Sus scrofa: one gene and its partner. The protein of the gene in region 1 purifies or fractionates together with the protein of each later gene. This does not show direct contact. Links are inferred from orthologs where the notes say so. Each region holds a gene or a part of one and is shown on either strand. Other genes may lie near its edges. The genes, in order: NUAK1 and FBXW11.

Region 1 (4,467 bases):
CAGGCATGCTTCATACCCCACTCTTCCCATCCCAGTCTGGTATACTGCACCAGTTACAGGAAAAAAAAAAAAAAATCCCATAGGCCCTCTTTTTCTCTTGCCTTCTTCCTTATTTTCCGTTGAGGCTTCTGAGAAGAATGAGAGGGGCAGTCCTGCTGCAGTCCTAGGCCCTTCCTGCCTGACCCTCGCTGATGGGGGTGGGGTGCCTGGTACCATCTTCAGAATCTGGCCATTTCAGTTAAACTCCAAAGGCCCAAGGGGCCTAAGAGTCATCTCTTGCTCAGCAGGCCCCAGGCCCTGCTCCATTCAAGGTCCCTGGCCTGTCCATCTCCAAAAGCAGCCTTAGCGGGCAGGACGGGCACCCAGGTGCAACCTGGTGCCGTTAGCGCCCCAACTCTTCTCCTCTCCCAGGGGTGGACGTCCTGGATGGTGTCAGAAGGCCGGCAGTCTGGCGGCGGCGGGGCCCCAGGTTCAGCCTCCGAGCCTCCCTTCCTCCCCGATTCAGCCTTTCAATCGGGAAGGGAGCGGGGCCGGGGTCAACGCGCCCCCTGGGGGTTCTCCAAGGCGCGCAGCTGTCCGGGGCGAGCAACCCTAGCCCCGGCCTGGGTAGGGGCCTGAGAGGCTGGGGTGCCAGCCCCCGCCGGGCGGGAGGGGGAGAGCGCCGCGGCGGGGGAGGGGGAGCCGTGACTCACCGCCTGTAACCCTACACCCGCGCTGCTTCCCCTCCCCCAGCCTCTCCCCCGTCTCCGGCCTGGCGGCCGCCGCGACACCCAAAACAAAATGAACGGGCGCCCGAGCCCGCGGCGCCCCACGCCGGATCGCGAGCGGGTCTCGGCGGCCCCGGGCTCCGAGCACTCCGGCCGGCCCGGCCCTGGACCTCGGCGAGCGCCCGCCGCCGCCGCCGCCCAGGCGGGAGCAGGAAGGGAGGCCGAGCGTCCGGAGCAGGCGTCGGAGGAGGCGTTGGCGGCGGCGGCGGCGGCGGCAGCAGAGGGCTCGCGGTAGCTACGGCTGGCGAGCTCGGGGAGGGGGCGCCTGGGCTGGGAACCACCCCCGTCTCCATCCTGGCCGAGCGAGGACAAAGCCCCCTCGCCGCTAGCGCGGCCTGTTCGGCGCTGCACAAAGGGCGAGTCGCGACACGCACCCATCCCCCCGCAGCTTGGGGCGGCCCCGGCCCCGGAGGCGGCCGCGAGTGGGGGAAGCCCAGGCCGCGCCTCCCCTCGCCCCCTCCCCCGGGGCCGCCCAGCGCACCGCCCCCGCCCCCGCCCCGTCTGCGGGTCCTGCCGGGGAGGGGTTGGGGGGCGCGGCGCCCCACATAACACGCCCCCTCCGGCGCTCGGAGCCACCCCTCTCCCCTCCCTCCTGCGAACACCACCGCCTCCCCTGCCGCCGCCGCCGCCACCTCGCCCGACGCGCCGCAGCTCGCCGCGGCCGGTGGGCGGTGCGCGGATCGTGCGCGCCGGGGGCGCCAGATGTGCAGTCCCCGCCGCCGCCAGTGACCCAGCCGCAGCCCGGGCGGGAGCGGGCTGCTTCCTCAATGCTGCGGGGGCGACCTTGAGCGCGCCCCGGTTTCCCTCCGCGGGCACCCCGACACCGCGAGCGCTGTGCCCGGTCCTGCCCTGCCCTCTCCTGCCGGGTTCGCCCCGCGTTCGGACATGGAGGGGGCCGCTGCGGCCGCGGCCGGGGACGGCCCGGACTTGGGGCTGGGGACGCCGGGCTCTCCCCCGGAGGCGGGGGCGGGGGCGACCGCAGCCCCCGCGGCGGCGGCCCCGGAGCCCAGGAAGCCGCACGGGGTGAAGCGGCATCACCACAAGCACAACTTGAAGCACCGCTACGAGCTGCAGGAGACCCTGGGCAAAGGCACCTACGGCAAAGTCAAGAGGGCCACCGAGAGGTTTTCGGGCCGAGTGGTGAGTTGGGGGGAAGCCCGGGGGGCTTGGGGCTAGACGCAACCGGGGACGGAGCCAGCGTGCGATGGGGTCTGGGGCACGGAGGGGATCACTTGTCCGCGAGGGGGCTTCCCGGGAACCCCCACCCCCGCCCCTCTGGCGGATTCCTGACTCTCCCACCAGCTCCCCGTGGCTCAGGCGTGTCTTTCTCCCTGAACACTTGTTACATCCTGTCTGCGCATATTTTGGGGGTTTTGATCCCAGCAGCAAAGTAGTGTTTATGATTTGCCAACACTTTGCAACGTCGGGACCGTTGGGGTCTCCCTCGAAGTCACGCATTCATGCCCTGGAATGCCTATTGCTCTGACTCCAGAGCCACATCCTCAGCTTGGGGTTGGTTCCCCAAGTCCCGCGTCCAGTAGATGAATGGGACCCTCCCCCTCCTTCCCGGCATCATCCCACTCGTCTTCCCCTTCTCCCTGATGCCGATGTGCCTGCAACGGAGGGTGGACTCCTGCCTGTTTATAAGAGAGAATGTTAGGGGGGCAAAGTAAAGGCTGCTGCATGGCTGAGGGTTGTGACAGTTTGCGGCTGGCTTCTGGGAGGACTGAATTGCCCAGGGCATGGACAGCCACACAGACGCGGAGTTGCAGACTCAACTGCATTTCAGGCCCTGGCTGCAGGGCTACTGCATTGCTTAAAGGGTCTGGCCCAGCCACCCTGCTCTTTGTGACAGCTGAAACCCTGCCAGGGCCCCAGGACCATTTATATTGCCCCAAGGAGAGGCATGAGTGCTTTGACTTCTCTGTGTTGTCCCAACCTTGGTTTGTTGTCATTTTCCTTTCTGCAAAACAGGCCCTTGAAATCCACACTGCTTGTGGCTAGAGGGTTGGGTTCAAAGTGACTGACTGTTGCAGAAAGATTTTGTGTGGTGTGTGGCAGAAAATTAATATGATTCTTTGATTTGAAGCATATCAAATGGCTTTTAATCGATTTAGGGCCAAAGTCAGGAACTAATTAGGGGACTCCTTGTGTGACTTTGGGGGTGACTCAGGGCCCAGGGTTGCTTATAAACTTAACAGATGACCACAGGGAGAAAGCAAAATGAACTGTGGAACGAAGTGGTATGATGATGTCTTTTGCATTTGTGCAGGGGCAGTTCTGCGGACAAAATGGGGCACTAATCAGAAAGTTCAGCCCCCAAATCCTCAAATATTTGGATACGGGATAACGCCCTCATTCTAAGCTTCACTATTTGGGTTGATACAGCTTTATCCTATAGCTTTAAAAAAGTCTGTTATAGGTTCATTGGACATTTGAGAGATTATACCTTTTATTTTTAAGCTGTCTCCTATCAACAAATTTCTATAGCAAGTAGTTGAGAGGGCAGGTGCCCTTTTGGTAGGTAGAAAATTTACAAGAGGAGATATATGGTTGCAAAGATGTCCTTTGAGGAACACACTTTCAGGTTTGTGGAAGAGGAGGCTGAGAAACGTGCGCTTCATTCATGCTTTTCTTCTGAGGTGATATTCCCCAGGCTGGATGTTGAATAAGCAAAAGCTAAGCTCCTTGCTCATGTTGTCTTAATAGCTGTTGAAGAATCGCGCTGGGAAGTTGGAAAGTGGAATAATGAAAAACAGACGCGGTTTGGGTTGCAGGTTGAGGATGTGAGCTTGTGAGTGGTCAGGGTGTGTCTGGGATCTGTGAGGGGACACAGCCGCCTGAAGGCTGGGGAGCTGCTGCTAACTGAAAGAATGAAGGCTTGTCTTATGGCAGACGTCTTTCTGAGCCTCGCTGGGGCTTCAGGTATTTGTGTAGCTGTCTGATCCATGGTCTAGAGTGAAAGGGATCCCATCAGTAGATGGGAGCCTGCCTTTCTCTTTTGGTGGCTGTCTTTCCCTTTATTTGCAGAAAGTCTGAACATTCCGTCAGGATTTAGTCGAATAGCCACGAGGGGGCGCCCTGAGAACGGAAGAGGCTCATTTCGCTGCAGGATTTGAGTCCTGCTGTTATTGTCCAGTTCTAGTCTCGCTTCCCATTGTGCTATTAATTTCAGCTAAGTCTCTTGTCTTACTCAAAAATTCTGCAAAGATTGCAAATCTGGTGGCAGGTCCACATCCAGAAGCTGGCAATCCCCAGACTGCTTTCTGCATGATAGATGAGCCTAGGCTGTTAGCAAAATCATCTGGTTGAAAACGCTGCATTAAGCAGATGGGAAAACTGAGGTTGGGTGAAGGGAAGACCTCCTTGGCCTTGAGTCCTCCCCCTGCTGAGCACACTGCTCACAGATGGTGTAAGAACTTCAGTGAGAAACAGAAATTGTCAGGTGGAAAATTCTCTGCGCCTGACTGAACAGAAAAATAAAACAAACACCCAAAAAATTGGTCAGCAAGTTGTTCTTGCCTGCACAGTGCTTGGTGACTCAGAATCTGTCCAGAAACTTCCACTTCCTCATCTGTAAAATGGGCTCATATAGTACCAACTTCATGGACTGGCAGTGAGAACTGAATAAAATAACCTGCAGAAAGCCTCAGGAAGGGAAGTGAGTAAATTTAGTTTCCTCTTGGAGCTGATGCTTTTT
Region 2 (4,438 bases), on another chromosome or scaffold:
AAAAGGCATTTTAAAATTGATCTAGATAGCTGTTAAATTTTTTTGTTAAACTATCTTAAGAATCCCAGTTTGTAAAGCCCTTGAAAGAGCTGAAATATCTTTTCAGATCACAGACACAATTATGTAAAATCAAAACTTTTTCAATTTATAAGCATAGGAAACCAGTATATTTAGGTCAGAGATTTTTTTTTTTCTACATCCACTCAAAACACTAAATGGATTACACTGTATTCATTTCTAATTCTCTTCAAAATAAAGACATTTTAGTTATTGTTTTAATGGCATGTAAATGGAAGGAGCACTGAACACTTTCAAAGAGGTACCAAGTTACAATTTTCTTTTTCTTTTTTTTTTTTTTTTGTCTTTTTGCCATTTCTTGGGCCGCTCCCGCGGCATATGGGAGATTCCCAGGCTAGGGGTCTAATTGGAGCTGTAGCTGCCAGCCTACGCCAGAGCCACAGCAATGCTGGATCCGAGCCGTGTCTGCGACCTACACCACAGCTCACGGCAACGCCGGATCCTTAATCCACTGAGCAAGGGCAGGGATCGAACCCGCAACCTCATGGTTCCTAGTCGGATTCGTTAACCACTGCGCCACGACGAGAACTCCCCCCAAGTTACAATTTTCGATATGAAGCACTCCTGTTGTAAATACATGTATTACACATACATGTAAGCATATATACTATATATGCAATTCCAGTTAAGATATTTTACTAAAATAACCCCTTACAAAATTTGCAGATTATCAAAGGCTTGATTACAAAAGTTTGATAAACTTTACTGAAAGGAAAAATTACTTAATAAATTACTTAATAAATGAAAATCAAACTTATGGTGACAGTATCCCTTAGAAAGCAACCACACCAGTGCGCGCACGCACACACACACCCCAGAAACTACCAGAGCTTTTTTTCCCCTCTAGTTTTCAAGACTGCTGAAGAAGTCTAGTGAATTATGCAAAGGACAGCAAATATTAAGCTGCCTCCATATTTATGCTACTGTACTTCCATTTTTAAAACATGCACCTCAACTCCCCAGATACCATCATCCACAGACACCATGCAGCTATCCAACAGACTTTCAATGTCACCATTTATTATTTATAGCATTAAATGGGGGAAGTGGCTCTGATGTCACCGACCCTACCCAGTGGAATCACTGACTCAATAAACATTTTCACACTGGAGAAAATCTGGCTAGGAAAACGTTTTGCTGTGTTAAGTAGATTCTTTCACCTTTCCTCTCAACCTTAGAGTAGAAGTTGTTACTGTATTAGAAGAGATACAAAGAAACTGTCAAGATTTCCACAGGAAGAAAGCCTGGGCCTGTCCATTTGCTGAGGCAAAGAGCTTCCCCTCCCAGCTCTCCAGAGCCCAGTTTGATTTCCCTAGTATTCCAATTGGCAGGTAATAGCTATCATATTTTATTTCTTCCACCAAGTCATCCACCAAAGAGCAAGTTCTTCGTTTCTACTAGCCACTCTCTCGTGGCCCTGTTTCTAAAAACCTTAGGCTCCAAGTCCCAAGGCGGAGGGGGGGTTGGGATTCGTGGGGCCAGAGGGTCTGGCCTGGGTACCAAAGGTTTCTAACAGAAGAGTGATCGATTTCCCAGGGGCCTAGGATTCTCTCCTACTCCTTTTCTAGAAGAAAGAACTGGCGGCGCAGATGAGGACAAGCCCTCTTCCCCCTCCCCAATTTCCCAGAGCGGCTCTGGAAAACGTGAAGTTACAGTGTCTCTTTCCTGGGAGATGGAATCCAGAGTACCTGGGGCCTCGCTATCCAAACATCCCTCTCGGCCGGGTAGGAAACCCTTTGTCCGAGAAGCCGGACACCACAGGGGCCCAGGAAAGAGGCCCCTTATCGGTCACAGCCTCAAACCCGAGAGCTCCCCACCTCCACCCCTGTAGGGCCTATGCCGGCATCCACACAGCCCTGGCTTGAGAAGAGGGTGCTGAGAGACCCCTTCTAGGACGCAGAGGCCGAGACCCCAGGTCGATCTTCTCTGTACCCCCTCCCATCACCATCTCACTCGGCCTGAGTGGGGCTTGCAAGAGCGATGCAGGCCTGGCCGGAGAATTAGAAAAAGAAAAAACAGAAAACCCCTTCTAAGGGAGGAAGGAGATGCTTGAGCGAGTGTGAGCTAAGGCCACAGCACAAGCGAGCGAGGGTCGTTCCAGGGATGGGCCCAGAGACAGGAGAGAAGGGAGGGAGGGAGGAAAACCGAGGGGCATGGAGGGGGCCGGACCAGGTCCGGCCTGAGATCTCGAGGGATCCGGAGTAAAGCGCGCCGGGCCGGAGGGCCCAGGTTCGGGCCGAGGCAGCGGGGAAGGGCCAGGGCCGGCCTCGCGCCGGACGTTGAGATGGGCAGGCCCGCCCGGGGCCGGACGGACGGAAGAACGGACGGTCCAGCGGGCCGCACTCACCATGAGCTCGATGGTCTTGTCCTCAATCACCGAGTCGGGCTCCATGGCGGCCCTGGCGGCCCCGCCTCGCTCTCCCCGCGCAGCAGCGAACGGCCCGGGCGGAGGAGGCGACGGCGGAGGCGGCAGAGGCGGAGGCGGCTATCGCACCCACTCTAGCTGCCAGCCCGCCCGGGCCGCCGGCAGCTCCGCCCTCCCCCTCGGCGAACGCAGTACGCAGAGCGAGGACTACAGCTCCCGGCAGGCGCCGCGGGTCCCGCAGAGCGTTGTGGGAACGAGAAGACCCCGCCAGACCAATCTCTCCTAGCCGTCCGAAGCTGAATTCTCAGCCGAAAGTAGCACGGGACTGCGAATGAGAGACGTGCAGACCTAAAGAATTACGGGCTTCCTCAAGGTGGGGCTTCAGGTGCGCGCCTACTACATATCCCAGAAAGCCCTGCGCGCGGGTTCTCTTTCCGGCTAGTTTCTTCTGACTTCCTGGCAGCCCGAGGCTCCCCGGACCCGGACGGAAACTCCAAGGCAACTCTTCACTTGCCAGCGATCCTGCGTGCGCGACCGATTTCCGCACATGCGCGGTCTGTGCCTGCAGTGCCCGCTCGACACCTAAGTAACGGCACGGTTGGTCTGGCCTCTGTGGCAGGGTGAGGTGTTGGCGACAGGTGGGTTCTAGGAAGGGATGGTCTTGGGGCTCAAGTGTCGGAGGGGGGCCAGCGAGCGAGAGAGCTCGGGCAGAGAAGGAGGCTCTGAGAGCATGGGCGTCCCAAGAGTGGCGTCCCAAGAGGGGTTTGGAAATTTAGTTGAGAAAGAGGAGTTTTGTGGTCTCTGTGCACCACGTACTGGGAGGAACTGAGAGGTGAAAGAGAACCTATTATTCATTCGTTTAGAAAGTATCTTTTAAACTTCCAGCCTCTGCTCGTCACTAGCCTAGGCCCTGGGAATCAGCTCTGATCCCTACAGACAAGGCTTCTCTTCTCACGCAGCGTAATTCTGGTAGGGGGAAGACAGACATTAACCATAAGAAGGAACACAGCTGGAGATGCCCAGTGAATTCTGCCTCCAGCTCGGTATAAACCTTATCAGGTCTGTCAGTAACCTCAAACCAAAGACGACAAAGGCCCGCTGAGAATTAACAGGTTGGGTTTATTGCTGGTTGCAGAGAGAGAGAACACACACCATGAAGAACTGTGGGGCATCTCAGGAGGAGTTGTCAGGTGATTTGGATGAGGGTTTAAGAAAGTGGGACTTTACCCTGGATAAGATGCTGTCAGAAAGTGGAGGTAATTTTATGATTGGGCATCTCAGTAAATGTTATCTAGACGGAAGGACTACTAGACGAGGCTGAAGTCCTGATTGGTAGAGAAGCAGGAGTCCCTCATTACCAGAATAAGGGCTATTTGGTCATTTTTTGTGGTTTGAACAATGTCCCTGTTTGATCTGTGTTCAGATTTAATTAGGAGTGGTTTCGCTTTTGTATTGGTCTATCATGGCCATAGAATGGCTTTGTCTAACATTTATGTTCTATGAAATTAGGTTCAACAAGAAAACACGAGGCCTAGCTAAGAGGACCAGGCTATCATCTAGTAACATTACTGCCTGTTTGATTGTATCAGGCCAGCTGCCAAATGTCAAAGGCTACTGTTCTCTTTCTCAAGTGTTTTGCATTTTCTGCACCTGTAAAGGGAAGGGACTAGATGACCTCTAAGTCTTTCCATTTCCAAGCACCGAATTGCTACAGTAATTTGTATGCATGCAGGACACAGTGTAAGTTCTGTTCAATACAGTTTTAAGTTTAATGGCCCTTATCCGATGCTTTCTACTTAGGGAATTGAAAGAAAAGCAATAGGAAGAACACAGAATTAAAAAGCTATTATTCCTAACATGGTGTCTGAATTTCACCAGACCCCTTTGCCTCTCTAGGCTTTGAGACATTCATTAGTTAAATAAAGGGATTGGAATAAATGACCTCTATTTCAGCTACCTATTGCATCATCATAAACTACCTCTAAGACTTAGAAG

What was found.
Region 2: the proteins of NUAK1 (region 1) and FBXW11 purify together in Homo sapiens (affinity purification with mass spectrometry; 4 studies listed by BioGRID and IntAct, counting the BioPlex papers as one, with this or other methods). This does not show direct contact. The link is inferred for Sus scrofa from reciprocal best matches to the Homo sapiens genes NUAK1 and FBXW11.

Annotation. Positions count from the first base shown.
Region 1 is NC_010447.5:14,100,553-14,105,019, forward strand, and holds the start of NUAK1 (NUAK family SNF1-like kinase 1), read left to right. Parts: upstream 1-1,425; 5' UTR 1,426-1,652; coding exon 1,653-1,907; intron 1,908-4,467. UniProt on the Homo sapiens protein: Serine/threonine-protein kinase involved in various processes such as cell adhesion, regulation of cell ploidy and senescence, cell proliferation and tumor progression. Phosphorylates ATM, CASP6, LATS1, PPP1R12A and p53/TP53.
Region 2 is NC_010458.4:52,210,838-52,215,275, reverse strand, and holds the start of FBXW11 (F-box/WD repeat-containing protein 11), read right to left. Parts: upstream 2,876-4,438; 5' UTR 2,471-2,875; coding exon 2,426-2,470; intron 1-2,425.